Rattus norvegicus: one gene and its partner. The protein of the gene in region 1 interacts with the protein of each later gene in a biochemical or structural test. Links are inferred from orthologs where the notes say so. Each region holds a gene or a part of one and is shown on either strand. Other genes may lie near its edges. The genes, in order: Prpf40a and Mecp2.

Region 1 (15,082 bases):
GAGATAGGCACAATCATGTTTAGAAGCTGTGTTTATAAGTGAGTGTGTATGCATATACATTGGTCAGTTGATTTGTTTTCTTCTGAACTAGGAGTCTTCCTATGTTATGCAGGCTGGTCCAGAGAGTGTAAGCTCAAGCAAACTATCATCTTCATCTTCCCAAGTAACTGAGTCTAAGGAACATAAGTCAGACCTAGTCTAGAAGCTTCATAAGTCACTAAAAGCTTTCCATCAAATTTCACAATATAATGTTTATATGGTACGAACTGTGATACACGTAGCTCTGCATATTTTAGATTAAGTATTTTCTGTATTTTAAGTATTTTCTGCTAAAGGCAATTTCATGTATTTCTCTTAGTATTTTCTAAGTTTGCCTAAAATGAAAGGTTATCATGCTACATTCTCAGAAATATTAAAGACTGCAGGGAATACTGCAACATTGAGTTGTCAAATGTGACAAAACTTGGAAAACTACAACAAATACAAAAGCCAAGAGGCAAAATTAAGTAATTCGACATTGTATGTTTAGCACAATCAATCTGGTCTCAGAACAATTTTAAAAGAGGAGTGAGTGAAATGTATAGTTTTATTAACGTCCCTGGAAAAGGAATGATTTGCTACAAAGAGCATTCCAGGAAGGCCAGGGCTACACGGAGAAACCCTATCCAAAAATAACTCCCAAATGATCTTCTATTGCTTCATAACAAACCTTTTTTAAAAAACAAAACCAAAACAGAACAAAATAAAATAAAACAAACAAACAAAAAAACCACAACTGGAAACAAAAAACAGACTACCCATGAAGAAATTTTTTTCATGGAAACAAAGATGACTCAGCCCACTGCAGTACCTTAGCAACTTTAGAAGAAGATGTCTTAACAAGTATTAAGACTTACACTGTTTACTACTCTGTTACAATTTACCTTTCAGAATTTTTTCTGGTTTATTTTACTTTACTATTTGTTTTTGTGAACACACATTATGAACCATGTGCATGCCTGGTGCCCTTGGAGGTCAGGAAAAGCGTGGTGGGCAGCCTGGAACTGAGTTAAGGATGGTTGTGAGCCACTATGTGGGGGCTGGGAATCAAATCCAGGTCCTATGCAAGAGCAGCAAATGCTTTTCAACCACTGAACCGTTCCAGCCCTTACTTCCCAGGACCTTTAATCACTCTTGAATACATTTTCGAAAAAAGTTGAGTTAAGAAAGAAAGAAAAGTTTGTGTGTGTGTTGGGGACAGACACAGCACCTAGTTCACACAGCACCTAGTTCGATTATTTAAAGGTAGTTTTCAACCCACGGTCCTTTGAGTATCTGCATCAGAACTATTCATAAAAGCAAATATGCTTGGACCTAACCTTGGCCTGAATCATAATTTAAAAGTAGCTTAAAAAAAAATACAAGCAAGTCACCAGATTAATAAGTACACACGTCAAATGAGGAATGTTGTTCCTGCGGCTACATCTTACTTTACTGAGACTTATTCAAGCCCTAGATCAGTATTTAAAAATATCCGCAGGGGTCAAAATTTTTTTTTTTTTTTTTTTTTTTGGAGCTGGGGACCGAACCCAGGGCCTTGTGCTTGCTAGGCAAGCGCTCTACCACTGAGCTAAATCCCCAACCCCAAATTTTTAAGTCTATAGAAAAAGAACTCTTCTCAAGGTTGAGCACTTACTATGCTCTTGTTATTTTTTTCTAGAAAATCAACCTACTACCAAAATAACAGACCTAATAGCAATAGTTAAGCCAAAAGACAAGTAATAAACTAAAATGTCTAGTAAATATAAAATGATAAAATCATTCTCACACAACAAGGGTATATGTGGTGTTTTGAAAGAAAATGCCCCCCACCATGGGTTCACAGGGAGTGGCACTATTAGGAGGTGTGGCCTTTTTGGAGGAAGTATGTTTCTGAGAGCGGGTTTTGAGGTCTCAGATAGTATAGCCAGACCCAGTGCCTCACTCTGTCCCTGCTGCCTCCTGATCCAGATGGAGCACTCTCAGTTACCTTTCCAGCACCATATATTCCTGTGTGCTGTCATTCTTCCCACCCTGATGATAATGGACTAAACCTCTGAACTGTAAGCCTGCTCCCAATTCAGTGTTTTCCTATAAAAAATGTCATGATCATGGTGTCTCTTCACAACAATAGAAACCGTAAGACAGTACAAAATACTTTTTTTATAACCTAGCTGATAATTTCAACATGTTTATTCAAAACTTAGGCTGTTTCCTCATATCCTCATTTGAAACTTTTGTATCAATTGTAAAGAGAATAAGGATGTAATTCCTAAGTCATTTTCTTGTGGTAAGATTATGAATCATTTTTTTCTTGGTATCTTAATAGATTTATCATTGATTTCAGGGACCCTTACTAGAACTGGCCTCTCCTTTTATCTGTCTTTGTTAAGGAAAAGTTTACTCAGAGGTCTCCTATCAATTTATCATACTTTGTAAAGCCGGCTGTGCATTTATTCCCAAACAGATGAGAATTCAAACTCAGAAACAGAAGGACAAGCATTATCACAACTGCCTCAATAACTCAATAACCTTTGCAGTGCTTCTCTGAGACAAGCATTTGCGTGTTTGTTTATCTGGGTGGTGCTGAAGATCAGAACACGTGTACGCTAAGCAAAGTGTCTGTCACTGAAGTACAACACACTCAACCCTGAGACAGTTGTCTTTTTAAAGAATGCTTCTCTGTTGGAAAAGATTACCCATTCAAATGCTATATAATAAATATACTTTCTATAAGCCAAACTATGCTTACTTTAAAATTAATTCCCATGAATCTGAATGAGTTAAACCTATTAAGTGATAGTGACTGAATTTACTCTCCACTAGATCAGAGGCTCATACAGGGTTTTGTCTTGGCAGTTACTTCTGCTGTAAAAATGCTGTTTTCCTCATTCCTGAATTTTAATAGTAAAATATATCAAATAGGTAAAGTACTAAAGTCTTTCAATTTGTTTATAAAAGGGACAGATAACATCAATAACCCTCTTCAGTAGGAAGCTAAAAACTACATAATGTATGACATTTTGGACAATAGGAACAGAGTTGATTCACCTAGATGCTAATGGGAAATAATTCTTATTTAAAAATTTTTATCTAAAGACAAACTGCTTACTAAAATGTGAACAATAAAGTCTTCTGAAGTCTGGTTCAGATACTATTTATGTTGTCTAAATTTGTGAGCAAGTTTCTAGTTCTAAATTCCTGAAGCAGCAGTATAGGGAGTTTTTTCCAAAACATAATCAGAAACTAAGAATTTAGTGGACCAAAGTCATGCAGTTATACTGAATACTGTACAATTGCATTAGCGGCTCAATTTAAAATTACAAAAATTATGAAAAATATCTAAATGTATATCTATAAAGGAAATATAGTAACATTTACCACAAACACATAAATAAAAAACACTACTGAATCAGCTATACGTGGTATATATAAAATATTTATCCCAAAGCCTATATAACATTAAACATAACTTGGAAAAACAAAATAAGTGACCGGATTAATAAAATTATCAGTTCATACCTAACAGCCCCGTATCTACGACATCTTCATTTTTCGAGTTTTCTGTATGCAATTCTGTAAACACAAAGAGAGGTTTAGGTAGAAGAGTAGTGTTCCTTCCTGACATGAATATCCAAAGTCAGCAAAGATACTGTTCAGTTGTCAAAAGTACCCTGAAGTCAGAGCTAAGTTAAATTTCTGATTTACCACCTCAGTTACCTTCAAGCAACTACCTCTACAAGAGCCGATTTCCATAAACATGAGAATAGTCTCCTAGGTGTGTTGAAGACAATTTGTACAAAGAAACTTAAGGGCATAACAGAATTTGAATTCAGTTCTTTACTCAATTCTCCAAAATACCAATGTCCTCTGAAATGAACTTCTACTTATGGACATATAACTTTATTGTAAAAGAAAAATAAACTAAGTGCACAACAAATCTATCGTGGTTGAAGTGAGAGAAAAAAAAAAAACTGTTCAAGGGCCACCTGCAGCCCATTAGGGGGTGGGGAAAATGAGAGATTAAAGTTTAATTCGTAAAGGTAACAGGAGAATCACAAAGCGTTGAATCCTTTTAATACAAGATACTGCTTTCATGTTTCAGTTTCTCAAGAACTGGCAAAAGCAACACTAACTAAATTCAAATCTCTTTCCACTTCAAAAAATACTAAACCATACAACAAATCCCAATGGGGTAAAGGGAAGAGCGTCTTTCAGAACATTCCTACTTGGACAACATATGCCAATTTCTGACTAAGTAGTATATAGAACAGACTGTCCTGAAATAACTCTACTTGGTTACAAAGAAAAACCATTTGCCTATAAAAGTAGAAACCCGGGATGAGGGGGAGAAATCCTTGTCCTTCAATGTATCTAGGATCAGAGAAAAGCGTATACACAGCACGTCTCTAAACCTCAGCCTTAGAACATCAACAGCCTATTTTTGTTACATACACTTTTTGATCCTTTTAAAAGGGGCTCTGATTAACATAAGCCGTACTTATGTTTCAACTCAAGGATTCAATGCCTTTACAGCATTTAAGAGTGTGGATCTTTTCTACACTCATTATGGAGCAGGGTCGCCCATCTAAGGAGAGAAGACAAAGGGGGGGGGGGGGGACGACAAAGTACCGTAACAGTTTCGAGGGAAAGCTTTGGGAGGAAAGTGTGAATGGGGGCGTGTGATGTACTGGCTCGACTTTATGCTGGACAGCCTTTCAAGGCCTGGATCTCAGTACCTTTAACGATCAGGTAGGCGATGGCGAGGAGAAAAGCAAGGAGGACGGCGAACAGCAGCGAACAAAGAATGGAAAGGGCTTGGATGGGCCACCGCCGAGCCTGGGTTCGCTTGGCCGCAGTCGCCGGGAAGATGCCGTTGCGCTTATCCGGCAGGACCGGCGACCCGTCCCCGATCCGTGGGAGTAGCGGAGCCCTCTTGGACTCCGACGACGCCCTGGCCGAGAACTCTGCTCGCAAGTCGCGGGCCACTTGGTCGCATCCCTCGTCTCCGTCCTCACTCCAGCTATTCCCTTGAGTGTAGTCGGAATACACAGACCGAGTGACAGGGCCTGGGGTAACCTGACGGCGCCTACGCGGGCCTACAGACCTCCAACTCTCCACAAAGGACATGGCGGGAAAGACTGAGAGACCCGCGAAGGTCGAGCGTCCTCCACCGCCACGCCCCTCCCCGACAACAGCCAATCAGCGGCGGCCGTCGGCGGACCCAACCACCGAGCGCAGAGCGGTGGGGGGGTGCACCAGCGGGTTTCCAGGCAGCTCCGCTAGCGGATGTGCCGTGTGAGCGCGCGCCCGTGGCCCGCGGAGAAGCACTGCTTAATTTATTCGGCCCTTTCCGGTCCTATTGGCACGCACCGTCCAAGCCCCATAACCGCAGCTTCCCGCTCAGCTCCGCGGCTTCCTAACCGCCAATCGCTTCCTCCCTCGGGCGAGTGATCTCCGCCTCTACAACTCCCCGCCAACTACAGTACGCGCCTCCATCCTTCACTGGGGCGCGCGCAGCTCTGAAGCCCCGTACCCCCCAAACCCCCCACCGGCGAACCCCGGGCACGACCCCTCCCCACGCCAACCGCGCGCACGCGCGCACTAGGCCGCTAACGCCGGGTGCCGCTTACCCCGCCCCCACCCCACCCCTGGTGGCCTCAGGTTTGTGGGGCGAACGTAACTAGGGCGGGGGGGTGGCGAAGGTGGCACGACGCCATTGCCACACCCCCGGCGGGGTGCGGTGGCCCAAACCCGGGAATCTGGGTCCCCGCCGTGTCCCCTTTCCTGGGGGAAGTTGGTAGAGTTTCCCCGGCAGAGCACTCGACGCAGAAACTTCCTCCATCCCCCTCCCCCCTCTCCATGCAGGCGACGCCGAGTGAGGCTGGGGGCGAATCGCCGCAGAGCTGCGTGTCGGTATCGCGCTCTGATTGGACAGTAGGGAAGCCTGTCAGTTTATTGGCCCCGCTGATCCCGCCCCGCAGCTCAGGGCAGCCTTTACCCTTTGGCCCCAGCGGGCGCCAGCCACTCAGATCGCTTCTTGTTGGTATGTGTAGCGGCAGTGGCCGCCGACGGAGCAGTCTGAGCCCGACGATGAGGCCGGGGACTGGAGCCGAGCGTGGAGGCCTCATGGTGAGTGAAATGGAGAGCCAACCTCCCTCGCGGGGTCCCGGGGACGGGGAGCGGAGATTGTCCGGCTCAAACCTGTGCTCCAGTTCTTGGGTCTCTGCTGACGGCTTCCTGAGGAGACGGCCCTCGGTAAGGGATCGGCGGGGTAGGGGAAAGCGGCACAATGAAAAACCGAGTCAGAGAAACAGGAAGCTTTCTCCAAAAGGAGACGAGTATACCAGGAAGAGAGCTCCAGATGGTGGGCTACGTCCCAAGGGAGAGAAATAGAGGGCGGGAACGCACAAAGAAATATGTGGGACCTTGGACTTGCCAGTGGTCTTGGCCTAAGTAGATGCCTTAGGAAGGGAGGTGCTGGGCCCCGGGCGGACTGCACGTCTGAAAGCCCCAGGCTTGCTTTATGGTAGGGAGAGGCTGCTGCAGTTTATTTTCCTCCGGAGTAGTGGTGATTTGCACCGGTTGGGGGATTTGGTTGGGAGAATTGGCTGCGGATACTTAGTTTCAAGCCAGGAACAATGGAAGTACTATATTTTTAGCTCACTAAAATGGATGAATTTGTTATTTGCATTTAGTGTCTGGGACAGAATGACAGTCTTTGATATTTTAACTATATTAAGACATTCGTTCCTTAACGAAGTACTCTTGGGTACCCACTCTGTTTTATGATCAGACCTCGTCCAAATTAATGTAATTTTAAGTAGTATAAACAGAGTATATGTATAAAGGTGACAAGGTTGGGTTCACCGTAATAATTTTAAGTTAGAATTCAATACATAGACACCAAGTCTGGCCAGTCATTTGACAGTTGGCTAAGTCATCGGAGAGGGATTTTAATCCGCTATTGGGATTAACTTCCCCATATTTTGTAAATTTTGAGGTTCCTCATAATAACCACTGTAGTATATTTTAGATTAACGTTACTAGATGCTAATCCTGTAGTTTAATCACATTGACTTAGTTGACTTTCAGTTCAGTTGATGGGTTTTAGTCGTTGTTTTTGAAATGACAGTTTAAAGAAACATTGATTGTGTCTTACCTCTTACTTTTCATTGTTTTTCAGATGGGGCATCCTGGCATGCATTATGCACCAATGGGCATGCACCCTATGGGTCAGCGAGCAAACATGCCTCCTGTACCTCACGGAATGATGCCACAGATGATGCCTCCTATGGGAGGGCCTCCAATGGGACAAGTAAGAAGATGTTTTTTTACTTTGGCTTGCTTATTTTTGTTTGCTTGTCTCAAGATTTTAAGGTGTGAGTCAGTGTTGTACTTGCAGATGTTTAAAGGTTAGTTTATATCCATATAATGTGGTCAAACAAGACAAGCATTATGGTGATCATGTCTGTAACCAAATTTTGAATGGAGTAAGACTGTATTTTAAAAAATTAACTGATTTCCTCAACAAAGTTAAGATTTAAAATAATCTTTTAAGCCGGCGGTGGTGGCGCTCGCCTTTGATCCCAGCACTTGGGAGGCAGTGGCAGGTGGATCTCTGAGGTCAAGACTAGCCTGGGTCTATAGAATGAGTTCCAAGACAGAGAAACCCTATCTTGAGAATTAAGCAAACAATCTAAAGTGACAGTATAGAGCTAATCTATTTAACTTAGTGACTTCTTTCAGGCATTATAATTATTAATGGTCTAGAAGTAAATATCAGAAGACAGTCATGGTGAATGTGTAAAGCGTAGCATCAGAAAAATAATAGTTACTTGGGGTTTTCATTTAGAATGAATTTTATTCTTGTAGTATCTTCCTCTTGTTGGGAGTGTGGGGATTTTCTACTCTATTACCAATTCTTCCCTGGACCATGCCAAATAGGTATATACTCGTTTTCTACTTAATTTTTGAAATGATTATTGCTTCTACACTCCTACTTGTGCATTGTCCCTTGCATCTCTAGCACAGATTGTAAATGGACATTTTGTAGAAGTGATTGGATTAAAAGGTTTTGAGATGACTTCGTAACACTGGTAGTAGGATTTCTAGAGAAATGTTCAAGAAAGTCAAGAGCTTCAGTTCCATGAACAGTTGTGTCCTATGCTAGGTGCTATAATACACAGAGTCTTGGGTGGACTGGGTTATTCCAATTGAGTATCTTGATAAGTCATGAAATATTTTGGTTAGCAGATATTTTAGAAAGTCAGTTGTATATTTTCTTTTGCTAATGAGTACTATGGAGTTTGATAATGGTTTAAGCAATGAAGGCTAAAGTTATTGGTGAAATTGCAGCGGAAACAGGAGCTTGTTGTATTTTTCTTTTTATTTTACTTCTAAGAGTAGAATGGTTCAATGTTAAGTGGTTTTCTTTTATATTTGGAATATAGCCCTTAATTTTGTATAAAAAGTTTTATTCAAAGGCACCAGACTGAAAAGATTCTGCCTGCAGGAGTTCTTTATATAAAAGATTCTTTGCTCTGTTACTCTAGAATAACAATACTTTAAAGCTCCCTAGGAGATGCAGAGACAACTCTTGATTCTTCTTCTGTATCTTTCCATCTCTAAGCAGCACAAAACCCTTCTTGTTTTCTTGATAGAGCTGCTCTAACTAGATAATGAGCTTAAAAAATATTTATTCTTTAAATGCTCTGGTTCTTATTTAAAATTAGTTTCTTTCCACAGAAAGATAAAATAAAACAATTTGCTACTGCCAGATGCTTCTTTCTTTTCTGGGGCCTTCTGTTTCCATTGGGCCAGTCAAGGTAAGTTTTGCAAGGGGTTGACCTGCTTACCCTTGCTGTAATGGTGCTGTTGCACTAGCAGACCTGAGATGCCAGCTAGTCATTTTTAGTATAGTGCAGATTTTTTTTTTTTTTTAAGTAATTGGCATACACTGGTCACAGTTTGTTTTATGGCCCCTTCTCTTTGGCTGTGCCAGTGACCACTTTCCTAATAAGTTTACTTGCTACTTACACACTTCAGATATTCTGAATTTTGCTTCATGGTTTTCTACATTTTTTTTTTTAGTCCAGTACGTTCTATACACCATTAAATACACCCAATTATTTAAATGTTTAGCATCTTCCTCTGAGGATAATGAATGAATACTTTAGGAGACCAGATCTGAAAGTCTCAAGAAAGTTGCTGTTGTTCTCTCAAAATTAGATCATTATCCAGTGCCCCTTCCTAGCTAACAGCATGGGTTCTAGCTCATGGTAAAGCTAAGCTGAATCCTTGAGGACTCTAGGAATCTTTCTTAAAGCTCTGAACTTTCTCTTAAAGATGAACTGATTGTTTTTCCTGCATCATTTCTTCTGTTTGCATATACTCAGGATTATTAATAGTAATTATAATGAGAAGATAATTGACAAGTAGCAGGGTGCCTATACCACTCATGGCAGTGAATGTATAGTTTTATCATCCAAAGTTTTTCAAAACATTTTCAGATTTTTGGGACCAAGGGCTATATAATCTTCAAAAATAGTTGATCCTTTATAACTGCAAGATTCTATGTCTATTTGTTTCATCTAACATGGGCTTATAGTTCATGACAAATAGATTACAATTTCCAGACCACAAGCAGATTTTTTCCTTGTCATATTAACATTTAACACATGAAACAGCTATATAGTTATAGAGAGAGCATGTATATCATGTTATGCATAAGTAATCTAGATATGATTTAGACTATACAAGATGTCCATTGGTTATATGCATATATTATGGACTTTTTTATGCAAGGGTGAAAGTCTGAATTTTGATACACAGGATCCTGGAACAGGTCAGCCTACTGTCAGTTATCTGCTACACTGCCCACATTTAAGTTCCCTTAAGAAAATTGGATGATTGTGGTCTTTGAAATGTTACTGAATATGACAAGACATTTAAAGCTTGTTTATAAAACAGTATGCAAACTAGGCAGTAATGATCTAGGCTTAAAAGGGGGTTTGCAAAGTTGAAACTAGAGCCATTTTTTTTTCCAGTTCAGGCTGAATCTATTAGTAAGTACCTAGAAATAGCAAGCATAACTTAACCATAATTTCTTTCAGACTTATCTTTAATATAGATTAAATTATTACCTACTGATGCACATAACATTTGGGGAAAGTTATACTTGTCAGCTATAGAATTAAAAGCGTATACTGCTGAAAGGGACCTTACAAATAAATCAAATAAATGAGTTTTAAATAGTATATAAGTAATTGTTTTTGGAGTGGGTCTTTTTTTTTTCTTAAGTATTTCCTGAAATTTTTTTGTATAGTGACACTATTCAAAACTTTCCAGTAAAAATTTCTAAGTATGGTTGTGTTTGAAGCTGTCTTTCTTCATATCCATTCAGAATAAAGCATGTTTTGTCTTTAAAGTATTTTCTTCTCCTCCTTCATTTTCGTCCTTTTCTTTTTGTATGAGCTTTTTTTAATGAAGAACATTAAATTTTGTTATCTTTAATCAGCTGATTTTGCCTTTGCCCAACAGAGTGCTTAATAGCTAGCTCTGTTCTTGAGTGTTAACTTTCTTCCAATTTATAAAAAGAGTGAAATGAAGTCTTGAGCTCCGTTCCAGAGGTAACACTTTGTGGTTCAATTTTCTGACTGGATTGATTTGGAAATCAAATTCTTTCTAGGAAATTTCAGGTTTTGGGGGGTGATTTTTGGTTTTTTGTTGTTTTTTTTTGTTTTTGTTTTTTTTCTTTTTTTCTTTTTTTTTCTTCCTTTTTTTTTTTTGATGATACATTAGTGAGTAGTTATGTCTTACAAATGAATTTGGTTTTCTTATTTTAATACTGAGAAGACAAACTCACAAATCTGTAATGGCCCAGGTTGTCCTATTCCTAGGCCTTGGATATTCAACTGTTTTTGAGCTGGTTTTCTTGCTTCAAGGCTATTTCTATTTCCTCTCAAAAATTAAAAAGGAAATGTATTTCTTTGCTTAAGAATCTCAAATATTGTATATCTGTGACCTAGTGTCTAAATTCCACAGCTTTAAATTTGAAAGATCTCTGTAATACACGTCAAAGCAACATTCAGTAATGCATGTTTTTATACTCCCTAATACGAGTTCATACTAATCTTTTCATGGTGCCTTAAATGGTTATATTAGCTCTTGACATTAAACTTATACTGCTGTCCTTGTATTCTTGCTTTCAGGATTACTATCACCATGACATCTTTGCTTGCCTCAATTATTTTCTCAAATAATTTTGAACACTGTTTACCTCCTCTCTAAATTATTTAACATCTTGATATGCTTGGAATTTTTACAGTTTTATTTTGGCACTTAGTGACATTTTCCTTCCCTTAATGTTTTCTGATTTGCTATTTTCCTAACAAGTTATAAAGTCTTAGAAAGCAAGAACTAAGTTGTTCTTGTTAAGAATTGTCATTGCTGAGCACATTTCTTGGTGCATTTTGGGTGCTCAGTAATACTTGTTGAATGAATGAAATGAGTAGATACTATTTCCTACAATGTAAACTAGAAAGTAACTGATACATGTGTATCTAGAGGTTACTTGTGACTTTACATTGTCCCTGCTTTTAGTATGAGATTCATTATGGCTTTCTCATTTAACAAAAAATAGATAAAATGAAGTAAATTGGTATTTTTGGGTTTTGTTTTGGTAAAGAAATATAAACACTAACACTTAATGGTAGGGACATGCATTTCTAGCTGTGTAATATCATTGAAGATGTAATCTTGCCATATAGGTCCTTATAATATAAAAGTGATTTGTACTAGGTTTTGCAGAGATAATCAGTCCATTGATAATCAGTCCATTGGTGTTTAAATTTATCTTACTAATGAGATAATTTATTTTATTTTTAATATTGGCCAGTCATTAAAATGACTGTAATAATGACATAATTTTTATGTTATTTTTGTTACTTGAAATTCCCAATTCTAGTAATTTCTTCGCATTTACTGCTCTCAAATGTCTTCACTTTTACGATGTGGTTCAGTTTTGATAGGTTTTACTAGTAAGACTGTAGACGTGCTTACTTCAGCAACTATTTAGCATTTAAATATGAACTCACTCAAAACTTGAGATCCAGTACATTTAATGTTCGTAATGATCCAAGAAGTTTTATCTCAATTTGATAGAGTAGACTATCTCTCTCTTTAAGATGCATGAAATACTAAGTTATTGGGAAGTCTTGCAGGAAGTTTTGAAAATGCGGCTAGGTGTTTATCTGTCTTGCCCACCACCTTTCTAGTAGCATTTCAATCATGAGAAGTACTACGAACACTTAGTAAACTTTCTCATAACAGATGTGTACTAGAAGGTCTCCCCACCACACATTTTTTTTCATTGTTTACCTAGAAAAATGGACCTGTTTTGAAGGGTTATAAGTAAGAATGGGTAGATTATGTTCTCTTGTTGAAGTTGTTCATAGTTTTTCATTTGGTTGTCTTATACCTTCATTTTTTGCTAGACAGCTATGTCTCTTATTAATGTTCTTAGTATAAATTCATGGCTTTATACTAAAAGACTTTTAAAAGACTCTCATCATCTGGAATTACTGAAAGTATCAGAATATTCCTGGGCACTTGGAAATATTGTAGATACAAGTCTAGTCAACTGACCATCTGTTACCTTTCATTTACTTTATGCTATGTTCAGTTCTAATTAGCAGTTAATAAAGATAGTACATTTGCTTTAGTGGGCTTAAATCTGTTATTTCTTAGCATGCTTAAAATGGGTTTGGTGCTGTTAGGCATGTATATTGAAGGACAGTAATGCTAGCAGGTGAGGACTGTCCTAGCTTGAACTACAGTTTGCTGTACCTAAGGCTCTAATTTTTCAGTTAAATAAATTTTTTGTATGGTTTATCTTAAACTTTTGACTTTCTTTTCTAGTGAAAATTCTTATTACAGTATACACAGAATCATATTCATTAGGTTCTGATCTTCAGAACCTTACGTTCCGTTTGACATCATGGGTTTAGAATCACATATTTCATTGTGTAGTCTGGGAAGGTTGCTGCTCCTGTAAATGAGACTTCGGTAATGTTTCAGTAAACTTAACAGCTACATGTATGATAGTAGTCTCACAAGAGTACAGTGGAGCTGAAAATTTTTATGATTTATTTTTTTACTATATACTTTCTATATTTAGATGTACAAATTTTTCGTATTACAGTATCCTATAGTACTTATTAGACTAGTGGCCCGATGACATGGCAGCCTTGCGATCATAGCACAGAATACTGCTCCTGTGTTTCTGATAATGTACTAGTTTACCAGTCATGTTGAAGATTATCCCACAGACATGGGATCGTGCATAATACTTGAGTTGGTAATGGTAACCAATAGAATTTATTGCTGATTTTTGGACTTACACGTTATTTCTGATTTATGTGCTTACTATGCTATCCTCTATATTGGTTTGGGATGTACTTTACAAAAACAAACTCATTGTAATAAAATAGTTACATGTTACATGAACAGTCACCTCATACATCTTAGTGTTCACTGTGCCTCTTGATAAATGAAAAGGGTACATGCAGTGATTAGCTGACTTGTATCATCTAGGTTTCTGTATGTACACATTGCATATAATAAAATCATATGTTATATTTATCAGTGAGTGTGTCTGCTGTTAAGTGAAACATGCGGTATTAAATGTTATAGCTTACCTTTATTACCAAAGTATAAAGGCTTAGATGTAATATTGAATCTAGCTTGAAGAACATGAAAGGGAGATTATAATGGTCTTGTGTCCTAAAGAAGGCTTTAGATGACAATTTGAGTATAAAATGTAAAGTCCTTAATTTTGTAAAACTTAAGAGCCACAATTATGTTTCTCTATACAACACAATATTGTGTTTCTCTAGTTGAATTTAAAACCTTGCAATAAAAAAAAAGAAAAAGAAAAAACCAGCGGTATTCATTTTAATTCTACTACACTTCTATCTTTATGGTGCATAGTCTGTTGTAAAGGGTTATAATTTTGTTCTCATGTTTGTATGAACCTTGAGAAATTCATATAACTTATCGAATTTAATCTCCTAGTCTGAAAACTGTGATGACTCAGTTTGTCCAGGTGTATTTGTTAACTTGATAGTCTAGAGACTTAAGTGAATTATATACGAACATTGCAGGGCCAGCATCAGATGTGATACCTAACCTGGTGTTGACTTCTTATAACATGTATTGATTTCTATTAAAGATATTAAGAGTATGCTGTTTGTTGGATGGGTCTTTAATGAAAAAAACATAACAAAAGCTGAGAAATAGACAAGGAATGGTTGAGAGAAAAGATTATTTCTTATTAGAGGTTAAGAACGGCAATAATAAAATATTGTTGGTTAGTCTTTGATGTTTTCAGGTGCTGCACAGATTCAGTCATTGATGGCAAAAGTATTTAGAGAAAGATTTGTGTCTATACTGAATGTGTTCAGAAGATTTTGCAATATAATAACTAGATAGCATTTAGTATTTATTAGGTAATGTAAGAAATCTAGATGTGATTTAAAGTTTACTGGGGGTGTGATATAAATGTGTTGCCACTTTATATGAGGTAAACATTTGGAGATTTTGTTTTCCATTAGGTGGGGCTATGAGTACTGTGAGACAACCCAGTAGCTAGTAACTTATTTAATAGCTTTGATTGGGCATTATTTTAATTGCCTTACACTCACTGTATTTTATTTCCCATAATAAGTCCTGTCAGGTAATATTTTTACTATTAATGAGAAATTGAGGTCCAGAGAGGATAATGTCATAGCAGCTTAAGACCCCAAAGCTGTCAAGTAGTCATGCTAAGATAGGAATCCTGCTTGTCTGACGGTAGCTGTGCCGCACTCAGTCGGGCTCTCTAAAATTGTAAAAATCAGAACATTTGCCTTTAGTCTCAGTTCTCGGGAGGCAGAGGCAGGCAGATTTCTGAGTTTGAGGATGTCAAGGCAGAGAAATCTTATCTTGGACAAAAAGATAAGATAACTTGTATAATCAGTTAAGTCAACCACTTCAGAATATGAAGAATAGCTATAAAGTTTTC
Region 2 (14,871 bases), on another chromosome or scaffold:
AGTTCGATCCCCAGCTCCGGGAAAAAAAAGAGAAAAAAGAAAAAAGAAAAAAAGGACTTCCCCTCACAGCGGTTCCTTGATGAGACAATCAGTTTGCTTGTCCAAACTGTTTGTTGCTTATTCATCGTGGAAAATGGGTTCAGGTGATTCACTCAGGGTGGACCAGAGATTGAATACGTTTTGCAGAAAGGAATGTTGGTGAAGGGGCCAGTCCATCTAGATACCTCATTAGCATGGAGAACTCAGGTGTTCTGTGCTATGGGACTAGTGGTCAAGATATTTGGGGGTGGGGTGGGGAGGGTCACGGTCACATGTCCCAGGACAGGAACCGGGTACGAGTAGTAGATTAAAAGCCCTCCCATTCTCCTGTACGAGAATTTACCAGGGTTTCTGTATCTGCTCAACCTTCCCAGATTTTGTCTGGTGAAACAGTGCCCCATGTCTCACAGGGTTTTACTGACTGACAAAGGAAACTAATGATGCAGCTCTGCCAGAGGGGGGAGGGGGAGGGGGAGTCTGAGATAAACTTAAAATTCAGGGTGTTCAGGTGTGACCTGATCCACCACAGGTGGCAGTGACCACCAGGCTGTTAACAACATCCACTATCCAGCGTTCTGGGTGGAAAAGAGGCATATACATTTCTTCTGTTGATGACACGAGCCTGCCTGCAGCCTTCACATCCCTGGTTTCTGTAGTCCTTGTCTGTGAGCACAGAGACTTCATGCCCTTTACATCCATCGTATTTAAAGATGATTTAAAGAGATTGGCCCTATCACTTGCATGAAACTCACCAAACAGGCTAGGCATGCTAGCCAGCTAGCCTCAGGATTCTGCTTGTTGCCTCCCCAGTACTGGAAAAAAATTACAACACATAGCTTCATGCTTAGATTTTGTTTTAATGTTCTGAAGATTGAAATCAGGTTCTCATGCTTACACCACCAAGCACTTTGCCAACAGAGTTAACTTTTACTAAAGTTTCTTTATTTCCTTTTAAATGTTGGCACTTTTCTTTCACGGCTAAATTTTATCTATCTATCTATCTATCTATCTATCTATCTATCTATCTATCTATCTATCTATCTGGATTGAGGAGAAGGAGAGAATGAGCCACAGCATACATGTGAATGAAGGTCACAGGACAATTCATGGAAGTTTTAGATACTGGGACTTGGACTTAGGTCACCAGGCTTAGCAACAGGGGCCTTTACCCACTGACTCATCTTGCCAGCCCTGACACTTTCTTTTGTTTTTTCAGGAGTTTTAAGAGTAAAGAAGGGAAGCTTTGAGAACATGTACATGCAGGCATAATTTATTGTCTCTTTCTGTTTGACCTTTAAATATGTATTTGTTTTATTTTATGAATAATGAGTGTCTTCCTGTATGAAAGGGATTAAGTTTTGTTTTGTTTATGAGACAGTGTCTCATGTAGCCTAGGGTGGCCTTGAACACATAATGTAGCCAAGGATGACTTTGAAGTTCTGATCTTCTTGCTGTTACTTCCTGGGTACTGGCTTTATAAATGTGCACCACCACAGCAGGTTTATGTGATGCTAGGGATTATCCCAGGGCTTTGTACATGCTAGGCAAGCATTTTACCACTGAGTAACACTTCCAGCTTCTGGGGCAGTTTATTGGTGTGTACAATGGATGAATGGTTTTAGGAGATTTTACATAAGTATCTACAAGCCAAATTGTGTTTATACTTGTGTATATGGGATGTACTCTTCAGTATTTTGGACTGTGTCATCTTTTTCATTTTTATTTGTCATTTTGGATTTATTCTTTTAAAATATGTTTTTCTCCATCACTCCCACAGATTTTTAGGCAGACAGAGTGGATGTGTGTGTTCTATTTTCCATATTGCTAAAATTCTACAGTTTGTTGAGGTATATACATATAGTATGTTTTCCTGGTTGTAATTGCCCCATTTTTTATGTTGGGGATTGAATCCAGGGCTTTATAAGTGGTAGGCAAGTGCTCTACCATTATGTTTTATCCTCGGACTCTATCTCCCCATTTTAAAGGGATGTTATTTTTAAATGCTACAGTCCCATTTTAAAAATGGTTCCTTTTAATTCTACTACTAAAATACTTTGGTGCTGTATGTTTTTTTTCTATTTTTCAGTGCAAACATAAATTATGTCATTTACATCTCTTTTATCTAATTTAAAGAAGTTAAAATTCTCTTCACAAAATTTGAAAAATGTCTTGTTTTCTTGTTTTGTACATTACTCTTCTCAATGCAGAATTGCCTTATTATAACCCATAAAACTTTGGGACTTTAATTTTAGTTTTTCAAGACAGGATTTCTCTGTGTAGCCCTGGATGTCCTGAAATTCAGAGATCTGCCTGCCTCAGTCTCCCAAATGCTGGGATTAAAGGTATAAGCAACCATGCTAGGTTCAAAACTCTTACATTTTGGGGCTGGGGATTTAGCTCAGTGGTAGAGCGCTTACCTAGGAAGCGCAAGGCCCTGGGTTCACTCCCCAACTCCAAAAAAAAGAACAACAACAAAAAAAAACTCTTACATTTTGATCAGGGCAATCTCCAGATTTGTTAATGAAGCACTTACATTTTTATGTTGACTCTTCCATTCCAGGAATGTGGTAGTTGACTTTTTTTCCACATCTTTTAAACTATTTCAGTAAATTTTTATATATGTTTTTACATTTCTTTAAATATTTTTATTACATGTATTTATTATTATGTATATATGTACACGAGCATTCAGATGTTACAGTGTGAGTGTGGAGGTCATAGAACAACTTTCTTGAGAGTAAGTTCTCTTCCTCCATGATGTGTATGCTACGTGTCACTCAGGTTACTAGGCTTGGCAGCAAGTGCTCTTATCTATTGAGCTGTCTCAGAGAGCCAGATTTTTATATTTCTTAATAAGTTTATCTCTAGACTTCAACCCTCCCATTATATTGACAACATTTTATTACTAGCTAGGTTTACATGCCTGCACCCTAATACTAAACATAGACTAATGACCATTTCTCCTCATAGTGAAGGGCCAATTATGAGATTATAGTAGAAAAATGACATATTTTATTTTTGAAAATTATATTGCATTGTAGATCTTGCTCTATTTCTTCCTTTGTTCTCAATTAAATATCATGTTTCATCTACAGTTTTATAAACATCTTTGATCAGATTAAGAACGTTCTAGTTATAGTTCTTTAAGTTGTTTTTAAAATCATAAGTAGGTATTGAATTTTATCAAATGCTTTTTCCTTCATGTATTGATACTCGCATGATCTGTTCTTAAAATTGTAATTGATTTCTAATTTTAAACCATCCTTGTATTTGTGGACTAAAACTCAGCCTGGAGGAGAGGAGGCTGGAGAGATGGCATGTTGCTCTTGCAGAGGACCCAAGTTCTGATCCTATCTTCTGCATCTGCAAATACCTGCATGCTCACACCCCAACACACACACACACACACACACACACACACACACACACACACACACACAATCACTCTGAGATTATATCCACTTGTTTTTTTTACATTTATCTATCTTAGTATTTTATGTGTATGAGTATATTTTATGTGTCTGTGTGTATTTGTGTGTACTACATGTGTGCTTAGTACTCACTGTGGTCGGAAGAGGGCACAAGATCCCCTGAGGCTAAAATTACAAATGGTTTTGAGTGGCCATATGGGTGCTGAGAATCCTCTAGATTTCCCCATTGTAGTAAAAAACATTCACTTAGGTGATCCTGCCCCAAACTCAGCCAAAATCCTTATTTTTTTCTTTCTTTCCATCTGATATCCAATACTTTTGGCTCAATTTAGAACATAAATCTTAAATATCACAACTTATCAGAATTCATCTGCTATTGCCCTAGTTAAAGCCATCATCATCATTATCATCATCATCCCCCTTCTTCTTCTCCCCACCCCAACTGTTGTCAGGACCTCTGGACTGGCCTGTTCTCCATTCTTCACTGGCAACATAGGTTTTATGATGCCAGCTAGTGACTCAAGTATCAAGGGCTTCTCATCTCAAAATAATCTCCCAGTTCTTTTGGTGACCTAAGTCTCTCTCCAGTCACACTGGCCTCCTTGGCAAGACATGCATAGTCCTTCCTTAGAGTGTTTAAACTTGCCTAGAATGTTTTCCCCAGTTACCCATATTGGGGGATGACATGGGCAAGTGCTAGAGGTTATCAAAATAGCACTCCTTTCGCTCTTGCCCTATTTCAAAGTCTTTATGAAAAATTTTAAATTCTACTTACTTGTATGTTTAGTATGATTCTTTCTTACCAGGATTCTAGTCTGTCTCCTTGTTCAGTACTAAAACAGTGCCTAGCAACTAAATGAATGGAGAGGGGAGCCAAATTTGAATCCAAAAGTCTCCTATTGAGCACAGGATTAGCACAAGGAGCATCGAATGCTGACTAGTATAAGGGTAAGGTTGCTTTGACAATCCTGACACCTTATTACCTAAACCTTCCCTCATACTCTGAAATCCAGATTGCTGGATCTCAGGTCTTCAAAGCAGGGCTGCTTCCTCTGGGCTCACTCTCTTTTATACTTACTTCAATCAAACCTTCTGATTCAACAATGACAGACAAATCTCTTATTAGCTTGGCATCTGACATCTGCCCACTATAAAGGTCTGCAAAGACCAGGATTTGTTTGATATGTTGATTTTACTGCCTTAAGAGTGCTAATTAGGTGGAATAATACAATTGGTAGAGCCTTTAAAACAAGTCCCTTGGCTTGGAACAACATCAGGCTCCTCAACAGGCAACTTTGCTGCTTCTACAGAAAATGATACTAAGAAAATGCTGGTGCAGTTAAATGCTTATCACAGCGTGCCCGATGCGCTTGCGGATAGAGGGCAGGGCGGTTCTAATAGGCGACAAGAGCCTAGACTTCCTTAAGCGCCAGAGTCCACAAGGGCCCCGTTAATCCTCAACATTCAAACGCTGCCCACAAAACCAGCCCCTCTGTGCCCTAGCCGCCTCTTTTCTCGAAGTGACAGTAGACCTCCACCAATCCGCAGCTGAATGGGGTCCGCCCCTTTTCCCTGCCTAAACAGACAGGAACTCCTGCCAATTGAGGGTGTCACCGCTAAGGCCCCGCCCCAGCCTGAGCTCCACAGCCAATAGAGGGTAAACTCGACAAAGCGCTGCCGTTAGGGCGCGGGCGCGCAGGTGCAGCAGCGCCCAGGCTGGCCGGGAGGGCGGGGCGCGACGTCGGCCGTGCGGGGTCCCGGCATCGGTTGCGCGCGCGCTCCCTCCTCTCGGAGAGAGGGCTGTGGTAAAAGCCGTCCGGAAAATGGCCGCCGCCGCTGCCGCCGCTGCCGCCGCCGCCGCCGCCGCTGCCGCCGCCGCCGCCGCCGCCGCCGCCGCGCCGAGCGGAGGAGGAGGAGGCGAGGAGGAGAGACTGTGAGTGGGACCGCCAAGGCTGCGGGCGGGGACCCTTGCTGGGGGGGGCGGGGGGTAGGGGCGGGACGTGGCGCGGGAGGGGCCCGCGGGGTCGGGCGACACGGCTGGCGGATGGCGTCCCTCCTCTCTACCCTCCCCCTCTCTCTGTCGCCGGTGGTGGCTTTCTCCACTTGTCTCCCGCAATTGCGAGCGACGGTCCTCAGCGCGATCTCCCTCGAGCCACCTTCGAATGACGCCCTCCCGCTGCCCGCTGCCCGCCCCATCTGTGCGCATCTTGGGCCCCAGCCTTTGCAAGCGCCCTTGTCGTCTGGGTTTCGCCAGTTGGGGCTGTGCGCGCTCCTGCCCTTCTTGGGGTTTTGGGCCGCGGCACTGCCGCGCGCCCGCGGTCCCGGCCTCTCCCTGGATCGCGCTGTCCCCTCTCCCTCGCGCGCCCCCACTCCCGTTACTCGCTCCCCCCCCCCACATACTGGCGCGCGTGCGCAGTCCATCTCCCGTTGGGAGAGTGCGCCACAAGGGCTCCTGAGCTCTTACCCCCATCTCTGGATTTTGCTCCCTCCTTCTCCTCTCCCATTCCATGACTTTTTGCCCCCACTGCAAGCGAGTCAGTCCATCAGCTCCATTCCCCACTTGGCAGGAACAAGTTGGGGGTTAGTGTCCACCCACAAAAAGGACTAGACACTATGTTCCTAGGTCCCACAACTCATCATAAAGAGATGGTTGTAGTTCTCATCAGGAACCGTGGGCTAGGGACTGTGCGTTCCTCAGCACTCGAAGCTCTTCCGTGAGACCATGCCCGCAGGGTGCTCTGGTTCTTTGGGGATGCTGTACTGTGGCTTCGGAATATGAGCGTCTTCCCACCCTCCCTCCCCTCCCTTCGCCAGCGATCATCCAGTTACATAAGTGGAATGGGACTTTGTATGTAATGGGCTCTCTTGGTCCTGGAGTGCTCAGGATCTCCAGTACCAAACATCGCTATGACTCCTCTGTCAATTATCTCTGAAAGTTCATTCTCTTTTTAGTTCGGTTATGACTGAATCACTTAAAATAAAACACAGGTGACTTTTATGTGTCAGTAGCAATGTTTCTGAGGTTTTGCACTAAAGGTTTAATCAATCGTGGTGGAGTCTAAAAAGATTCGGTTTCACAAGAAAGACCCTGGTGTGACATTGTTAAGTATGGACCCCCGCAGGGCAAAGCTTGCTAGGGAATACCTCTGTGCTAGTTCTTTGTATGTTCCGGTAAAGGTTCATCAAAACAAAAATGGGCTCCACCATAAAATTGATATTCCTGACTCATAGTCAGGGAGATATGTACTCCTGGTTAATTTTCCAGGAACACAAATGGGCTCTGTTGAGTCATTTGCATGTCGTCTTCAGTGTTTGGAATCATTACCCCAAACAGTGAGACAATAATCTCAAATATAGGGTTGTTGATGGCGATCATGAAACAGAATGAACTAATTTATAGTGCTAAGTGACTGAGATGTTGTAGGACTCTCACAAGTTCTAGATGTTTTTGATATACTACGTAAATGAAACCAATTTGGGCCTGGGTAGTAAAATTTCACTAATAGGTAAATTATTATTGTATTTTGGGTTTGTGGTTGGATTTATGTGAATCTCAGCAATTTCAATTAATAACATGATTTAAGCTGATGTCTTAGGTTCTTTGAAATATGTTGGATCTCTATAAAAAAAAGTTTGGACTGTTAGGTCCTTGGGGAATTTCCACCAAGGATTTGGAAAAATATATTTATAGGCTTTGGTTTTTTGTGTGTTTGTTTTTAACTTCAAATTCAAGTCATACTCAGAAAGCCTAGAAAACACTTGCTTTTATCTTCTTACCTGGGTATGTCAGAACCTTAAAGAATCCACACACTTTAAAAGTACAAATGATCTAAAATGAGTTAATACACATAACCCATTCATTAAACAAATTGCTGACCGACAGACAGAGTGCATTCACTTTCACAAACACACCCAAAAGATTTCAAAGTTTATACATTTGAGCCTGAGCTCAGAGTCGAAACCTTTACTTTGTTTTCATATTCTGTAACATGTTTGCTTCCTCAGGTGCCCCTCGGGTTAGCTATTTGTTTTACTCATAGCTCTTTAAACATTGTAAGCAACTTTTAAAACAGTTTCCTTTCAAAGTTCCTGTTGACATCTGAAGTTAGTGTGTCCTAAGAATTTGAAGAAACTATATGACTTTCTTGCTAGTATTGATCTATCACACATGCCTATTTCCTTTCCATGAGAATGTGTCTTGAGTGCTTTAAAGCTACAGTAACAGGTTCCTCTTTCACTGAAGAAGAAAGCATCATGTAGACGTTGTACTCCAAGGATTATTTTTTTCCTTTTTGTTGTTATTGTTATACTGGTGGTTAGACCCAGGACTTCATGCTTGCCAGGCAATCACCTCATATCCTTAGCTGCCTTCTGTTTTTTGTGCTGTTTGAATCCTGAGGTACACATGACCACAAAGACCACACGTAGACCACAAAGGTTTTGGAAGCTTATTATATGTTTTTGCAATCTGTGTTTGTATTTTCCAGATAGAGTTGTTCCCTCTGCCTGATCTGCTTCTATGAAGCTTAATCTATTGGGGACAGGGAGACAAAGCTATGGAGTTTGAAGGAAAAACCTGCTAAATTCTATGTTCTAGTGCCCCAACTCCACCCATGCACTCCTGAGAAGGTTTTTTTTAACCTAGAATAAAGAGCAGCAGTGGTAAACTTGTTAGTTTGTTTGCATGGTAAATGATGTGTCCTGGAACCTGTTGTCTTTTCTAAGGGTGAAATCTTTCTAAAGGTGAAATCAGTGAGAATCTTTTTTTATTAATTATTTTCATATATTTCATCCCAACTGCATTTTCCACTCCTCTCCTCCCAGACCCTCCTCCCTTCCCCTTCCCCATCCACTCCTTTTCCCTTCAGAAAAGGGCAGGCCTCCTAGGGATATCAACCAAACATGGCATATTAAGTTTCAATAAGACTAGACACTTCCCTCATACTAAGGTGGCCCACTAGAAGGAAAGGGATTCCAAAAGTAGCCAAAAGTGTCAGAAAGAGTTCCCCACTCCCTCTAATAGGAGTCCCACAAAAACAGGTCACTCATTGGGGAATCTTTTAATTGGCTAAGCAGTTTACCACTAGCGAACTAGACCTGGGAAACATAGAATCATGGACAATGACATTGTTAGTAGCCAGTGTTTTAAGCACAGCCTTGACTGGAGTGTGGCAGAATACATTTTAATCACCTGTTCTAGTAACATCTGTGCAGATCAAGCCATGTGACTGACAGAATCAACCTTTTTAGTTGGGTAGAGAACACTATTGTTCTTCCAAGGGAAAGACATTGTCCTCAGCACCCATCACAGCCTTTTAAAATCACTGTTGTCCAATTAGAGAACTGCACCTGCTCATTATTTTAGGGAGGACCAGTGTGAATCCAGTGGCTCCCTGTTTCTGGGGCTTTCTTAGACAGAAGGTGTGTGTGCTCTTCTGCTTCCTACAATCTCTTCTGCCTTTCTCTTCCAAGGAACATTTTCCTTTGAAAGTTTGACTTCAACCACTTTCATGGAAACTATAGTGTATAGAATGTCTGAATGGTGGCAAGACTCAAGAGAAGGCAGACATGCCCACCACCATGTTAAACGGCAAAGTATGGCCTTCTCCTGGACACTTTGCTAGCTCTGCTGGTACTGTGGATGTCTGGACTCTCGTTACTGGCCAAGTCTCAGTACAAGTGTGCTTATCTTTTCCTAAGAGCTGGGGGTATTTTAGTATGAATATTTTTGTTGGATTTTCACCTAACTGTATTTATTTTTAGCTTTTTTCTCATGAAATCTCAAACTTTTTTTTAAGAACTTAGAATAAAGATTAGTCCAGCTTCCAATGAAATAGGGGCTGAAGATATAGGGCATAGTCATTTGCTTCACATGTGCAAGGCACTGATTTCAGTTCCATCCTTACAAAAAATAAAATTGCAGGTAGGTAAAACTGTGGTCTTGAGAAGTTGTGACTTTGTAGGCCTTCTTAAACAAGGCACTGGTTTGATTTTTATTAGGTTGCTATCCAAAACTAATTAATTTTGGCATTTCAAACTGTTCCATAACTTAATTCTATGATTTAAGAAATTATGGGAGTGAAGAGGTTTTGCTGAGCCTTAAAAGATAACTGTAAGCATCATCAAGGGACTTGGTTGCTGTTGCCCTTCCTCTGGATTCGACCCCATGAGTGACTATAATAGTCTTAAGTTGTACAGTATAAGCCTTTCTTTTAGTGTAAAGATAAAAGTGTTATTACTGGCAGAGCCAAGTGTCTGAAATTACATATTTAGGCAGTTTAGGCTTTAACAAGGAAATGATGATTAGCTTGATGGCAACAGCCTTATTGAACATATGTGCAAAAACAAGAGAGACTGAAGCAGGAAGATCTGAGTTTGAGGACAGCTTGAACTACATAACAAAACTGCCTCAAAAAGCAACAATAGATATATATAGAGAGAGATGGCTCAGCAGTTAGGAGCACTGGCTTATTTTCTATTACCTTTGTAGAAGCTCACAATGGTCTAATTCTAGTCCGAGGATCCATCTTCTGGCCTCCACAGGCACTACATGTGGGTAGTGCGCAGACATACATTCATACAAATGCTCATACACATAAAAATAAATAAAATCTCAAAAAAATTAAAGAAAAACAATAACAAAAAAATCAAAAGAACCCATCAACTCAATGTGTTACAGACATTGAGATTTACTGATTTGAGAGGCTTACAGTAATTGGTTAGAGAAGGATTTATATAGTTTGGATGATGGCTTTGGATCTCCTGGTGCTTTTTGTCTTTTATCTCAAGGTGAAAACCCCTTTGTGTGATGTTAGAGCAGTTCCTTGCAGCTTTGACTGCTGGAAGCAGAAGAGAGACTTTTGCCTCTGGATTTGGTTGTGTTCTTTTTGAGGTGATGTGTGGGTGTTTTTGTTTGTTTGTTTTGGTTTTGGGTTTTTTTTTTGTTGGTTTTTGTTTTTTTCTTTTTTGTTTGTTCTGGGGGGTGTTGGGGGTTGGATTTGGGCTTTTTTGTTTGTTTTTATGTTGAATATACTCTTGAACACTCTTGAACACGTTCTATCATTGACTTTTCCTATATAATGTGGTGGAAGAAATACTTAACCAGAAATCACCACTTGTGGTATGCATTGTAGTTTCAAAGTGTTCCCCAGAGGTGTAAAGACCTCTGATAGTGTCAGTTCTGACAACCATAAATCTTGTTTTTATTTTAGCATTTTATGTTATGTGGCAGTAATTTGCAGTTTATTCTTTGCTTCTAATTAGCTTAGCTGGGAAGTAACATAGTACTTTGTCTGTATTTATCTTCAGAATGTTCCAAAAAGCCTTGGGAAAAAGGTGCAGCTCAATGGGGACTTTCAACTTACAATTTTCTTTGTTTTAGGCTCCATAAAAATACAGACTCACCAGTTCCTGCTTTGATGTGACATGTGACTCCCCAGAATACACCTTGCTTCTGTAGACCAGCTCCAACAGGATTCCATGGTAGCTGGGATGTTAGGGCTCAGGTAAGTAACCTTCCTTTTTTTTTTTTTAGTATATGTCCTGGTTTGGCCATCTGTTTTTAAAAAAAAAAAGGAAAAAAATATACTATTCTTGGACAGTATGAAAGTACCCCAAAGACAAAAAATATAACTGGGCCAAACTGTGCCATATAATAAAAAAAAGTCACTTCCCTGAGCCCTGAAAGTTCAGTTCAGTTTGGGTAGAGTTCCTTGGTAGCCACAATGTGATCTGGGGGGTGGGTGTCAGATTAGAGCTGGAACTGGTGATCTGCAGCTTCAGTTCACCTTGAAGCAGGAGAGTGCTTGTCCTGAGCTCTTCACCTGTGCTGCTGCTCTTACCTAGTGGTCTTCAGCATGATGCTTTCTTTGATTTGGTTTGGGCTAAATGACTTGCAGGTCAATGTTAGCAAACAGTGGTGTACTGCATTTTCAGATATAGGAACTGGTATGTGGTCCCCTAGAAGAGCACCCTTCTGAAAGTGTCATAGCACAATGGAGCCTGTGGTTAATGGTACTTGCTTGCTGAACTCTGATGGAGTGCACCCAGACAGATGTGCAGCTCTTGGGATTCTAGAGCAGGATAAGTGCTTTTAGAAAAGCTGGAAAGTCAAGTCATTTTTAAACCTGACAGATCTGCTGCAGTGTGAACTACTATAGTACCATTGTGTGGACTTTAGTTTTGCAAGAGTGAATTGTTCTGTTATTTCTTATCCTTTATCAGGCTCAAAGCTCTCAAGCTTTTTTTTTAATTAGTAATTATTCCACATTTGATATTTTGTCACCTGTATTTGTGTGATAAAACAGATAAATCCAATTAAATTTTCCTATTTTCTACAAGAGAAAATGTTGACTGTTCACACATGCTGCATTGTGATTCTATTTGAGATTCCCCCTATTAGAATTTTCTGTATCTCTAGATTTATTACACCTCATAAAGCTAATATGTACAGACATACACACACATATACATGCACCAAATGGCTGATTTATCTGGGAGAGTGAGTTTTGGGTGAAGGAGAATAGAAGGAAATGAAGATCATAGCACTGCCTCCAGGTTCTGGATTTGATTCTGTTCCTGATCCTGTGACCTCAGTTGTCATTCTCCTTACTATGATGAGGTATACTCTAAACCTGGCTGATGTTCTTTGTGCTTCACATATTTATGCTGGTGGGACTTATATGGCTAGTGTTTTGTCTTGGGAATCCTACCAAATGTAATAGAAGCAATGATGGGTTTCTTCTGGTAGATGTTTGGCTGGGAGTGGTTTGTGTTTTTTTTGTTTTTTTTGTTTTTCCCGGAGCTGGGGACCGAACCCAGGGCCTTGCGGTTGCTAGGCAAGCGCTCTACCACTGAGCTAAATCCCCAACCCCTGTGGTTTGTGTTTTTTAAAATCTTTTTTCTCAGTTTATGAATGCCTTTAGGAAAAAGGCAGTAATGACACTATACATGTTTCTCCAAAGAAAGGGTGGATTTTTTTTTTAGAAAAATTTCTTACTACTTACAAATGAGAAAAACAACTGAACTGAAATGTTCAAACAATAGAACTTATCTTTTCTAGAAAAGTATATATCTTTTCTTCTTTAAAAAAAATGCCAAGTATGGTAGTATACAACTTTAATACCAGCACTTGGGACACAGAGATAGGTAGATGGATCTTTGTGAGTTTGAGGCCAGCTTAGTTTACATAGTGAGTTCCAGGCTAGCCAGGGCTACATAGCAAGATCCTGTTTCAAAACAAACAAACAAACAAAAACAAACAAACAAAAATGATAAAACTTTAAAGTAGAACTTCTTCACGAGCCAATCATTTTGAAGAATCTATCTAGACTTGGAGGTAATGGTAGGTATTGGCCCATCCAAATTGCCTTTCCAAATGGCAATCAAAATTTTTTAAACCAGTGTTCTTTTTGTTATTACTGAGTTGAGCTTAAGTAATTATTGGCCATTTGTATCTGGCTGATGTGAATTATATGTTCATGTTTCGTACTCATCCTATCTGGATATTTTTTATTAATTTTTAATTCTGTGTGTGTGTCTTTCTGTGTCTGTGGGGTGCACATGGAAGGTGAAGGGGTGCATATGAGTTCAGGTAACTGCAGAGGCCAGAGGTAGATCCTCTTGGAGCTACAATTATGGACAGTTGTAAGCTACCTCACATGAGTGTTCAAAAACAAACACAGGTCCTCTACAAGAATCACAAGTGATATTAGCTTCTAAGCCATCTCTTCAGCCCTCAAGATACTTCTTTTTAAATGGATCTGTAAGAAGCCAGGACCTTGTACTTTCTAGATCCACTTAACTGAATACCTAACCTCCTTGGCTTTCTACTATATAAAATCTCAGGCAGCCCAGTGATTGGCATAGAAGGTTAAAGATACTTCCATCAAGCATAATGACCTGAATTTGATCTCCAGAAGCTACATAGTGGAAGGAGAGAATCAGCTCCTCCAAGTTATTGACTCCCACTGTCCTTAGACTGTAGCACACATGCAACATGGACACTAAAATATATGTTAGGATTTTATTAGCTCTTAGAGTTTTCTGGGGGCTGGAGATAGTGGCGTAGTAGTTAAGAACATAAGAACACTTGCTGCTCTTGCAAAGGGCCTGGATTTAGTTCCCAAAACTCAAAAGGGTTACTCTTGTTCTGGGGAATCCAGTGCCCTCTTCTGGTCTCCAGATGCATGTGGTGCATAAACTTACACTAGACAAAACACATAAAATTAATTTTTATACAAGAAAATCTTTTTCTTCTAAGAGTTAGTTGATACTCACTTTCATTTTCTTTCTGAAAAGATTGATATATTTCTGATGTATACATATTAATGCACCATAACTTCCTGTTTGTCCACATTCTTTTTAATTGATTTTTAAAATTCTGTGTGTGTGTGTGTGTGTGTGTGTGTGTGTGTGTGTGTGTGTGTGTGTGTTAGGCTAAGGGAACATTCGGCTTAGTGGCATGCCTCTTTATTTATGTCTCTCTAGTCCCTAGGTAGTTTTGAGTTAGCTTACAAAATGATGGTTTTATTATAGTATTTTCGTGTATACTCTGTTGCTCATTCTTCCCCATTCCTTTTCATGTTCTCCTGCCTTGTCTTCTGGTCCTCTCTACAGAATCACCCCTCCTTTTCTGGTTTCATGTCACATGTAGTTTATTACCTATTTTCCCTTAAGATTGCCCTGTGTTTTCTCAAATACTGGTTTTTGTATTTAACTCTGAGGTGGGGTGGTTTCTGGAGTATGCTTGGTTTTGTCTTAGCCATTTGGTGAACAAGTCATTCACTTTTCAAATTATTATTATTGCCATCCACATCCAGATCTCTTTTATAAAGCTGCAGTTCTGTGCTCATTGAACACTAATTCCCACTTTCTTCCTTTTATCCCCATCCTTTGCTAAACCACTATCCTACTGGTTTTCAATACCAGTCTAGTGCCTTACTCTGAATGTTAATGCATGTGTGTTTTATGTATTTTGTATGTTTACACATGTACAAAATTATATGGGAATATGTCTTTTACTTGAACCATAAAATATGGCACATAGTTGCAAAACTTGCCTTCTAGTTCATGTATCTTGGAGATTGTCTGGGATTAGTTTATACAGAACCATATCATTCTTTTTAACTGCTAGAATAAAATAGTCTATTTATGGGATATGCTATAATACATTTAATTGATTTTCTATTAATGGATGTTTGTGTTTCTAGTGGTTAAAATGTCATTGACTCCACCATGGTATGGTGGTATACAACTTTACTTCCAATACTTGGAAGGCAAAGGTAATAGAATCATTGCAAATTTGAGGCCAGCGTGCTCTACATAATGAGTTCCAGACCATTTAGAGCTATATAGCAAAACCTTACCTACCTCAAAATGTTGATGCTCTATGTCTTAGTCA

The links.
Region 2: the proteins of Prpf40a (region 1) and Mecp2 form a complex in vitro, tested with the Homo sapiens proteins (2 studies listed by BioGRID, with this or other methods). The link is inferred for Rattus norvegicus from reciprocal best matches to the Homo sapiens genes PRPF40A and MECP2.

What each region holds. Positions count from the first base shown.
Region 1 is NC_086021.1:58,089,539-58,104,620, reverse strand, and holds the start of Prpf40a (pre-mRNA-processing factor 40 homolog A), read left to right. Parts: upstream 1-6,111; coding exon 6,112-6,276; intron 6,277-7,203; exon of another isoform or gene 7,204-7,204; coding exon 7,205-7,336; intron 7,337-8,766; exon of another isoform or gene 8,767-8,798; coding exon of another isoform or gene 8,799-8,846; intron 8,847-15,082. Other genes in the region: Arl6ip6 (ADP-ribosylation factor-like protein 6-interacting protein 6), read right to left, coding at 3,541-3,594, 4,758-5,148.
Region 2 is NC_086039.1:156,986,316-157,001,186, reverse strand, and holds the start of Mecp2 (methyl-CpG-binding protein 2), read left to right. Parts: upstream 1-5,284; 5' UTR 5,285-5,293; coding exon of another isoform or gene 5,294-5,403; intron 5,404-5,481; exon of another isoform or gene 5,482-10,362; intron 10,363-10,851; 5' UTR 10,852-10,949; coding exon 10,950-10,975; intron 10,976-14,871. UniProt on the Homo sapiens protein: Chromosomal protein that binds to methylated DNA. It can bind specifically to a single methyl-CpG pair. It is not influenced by sequences flanking the methyl-CpGs.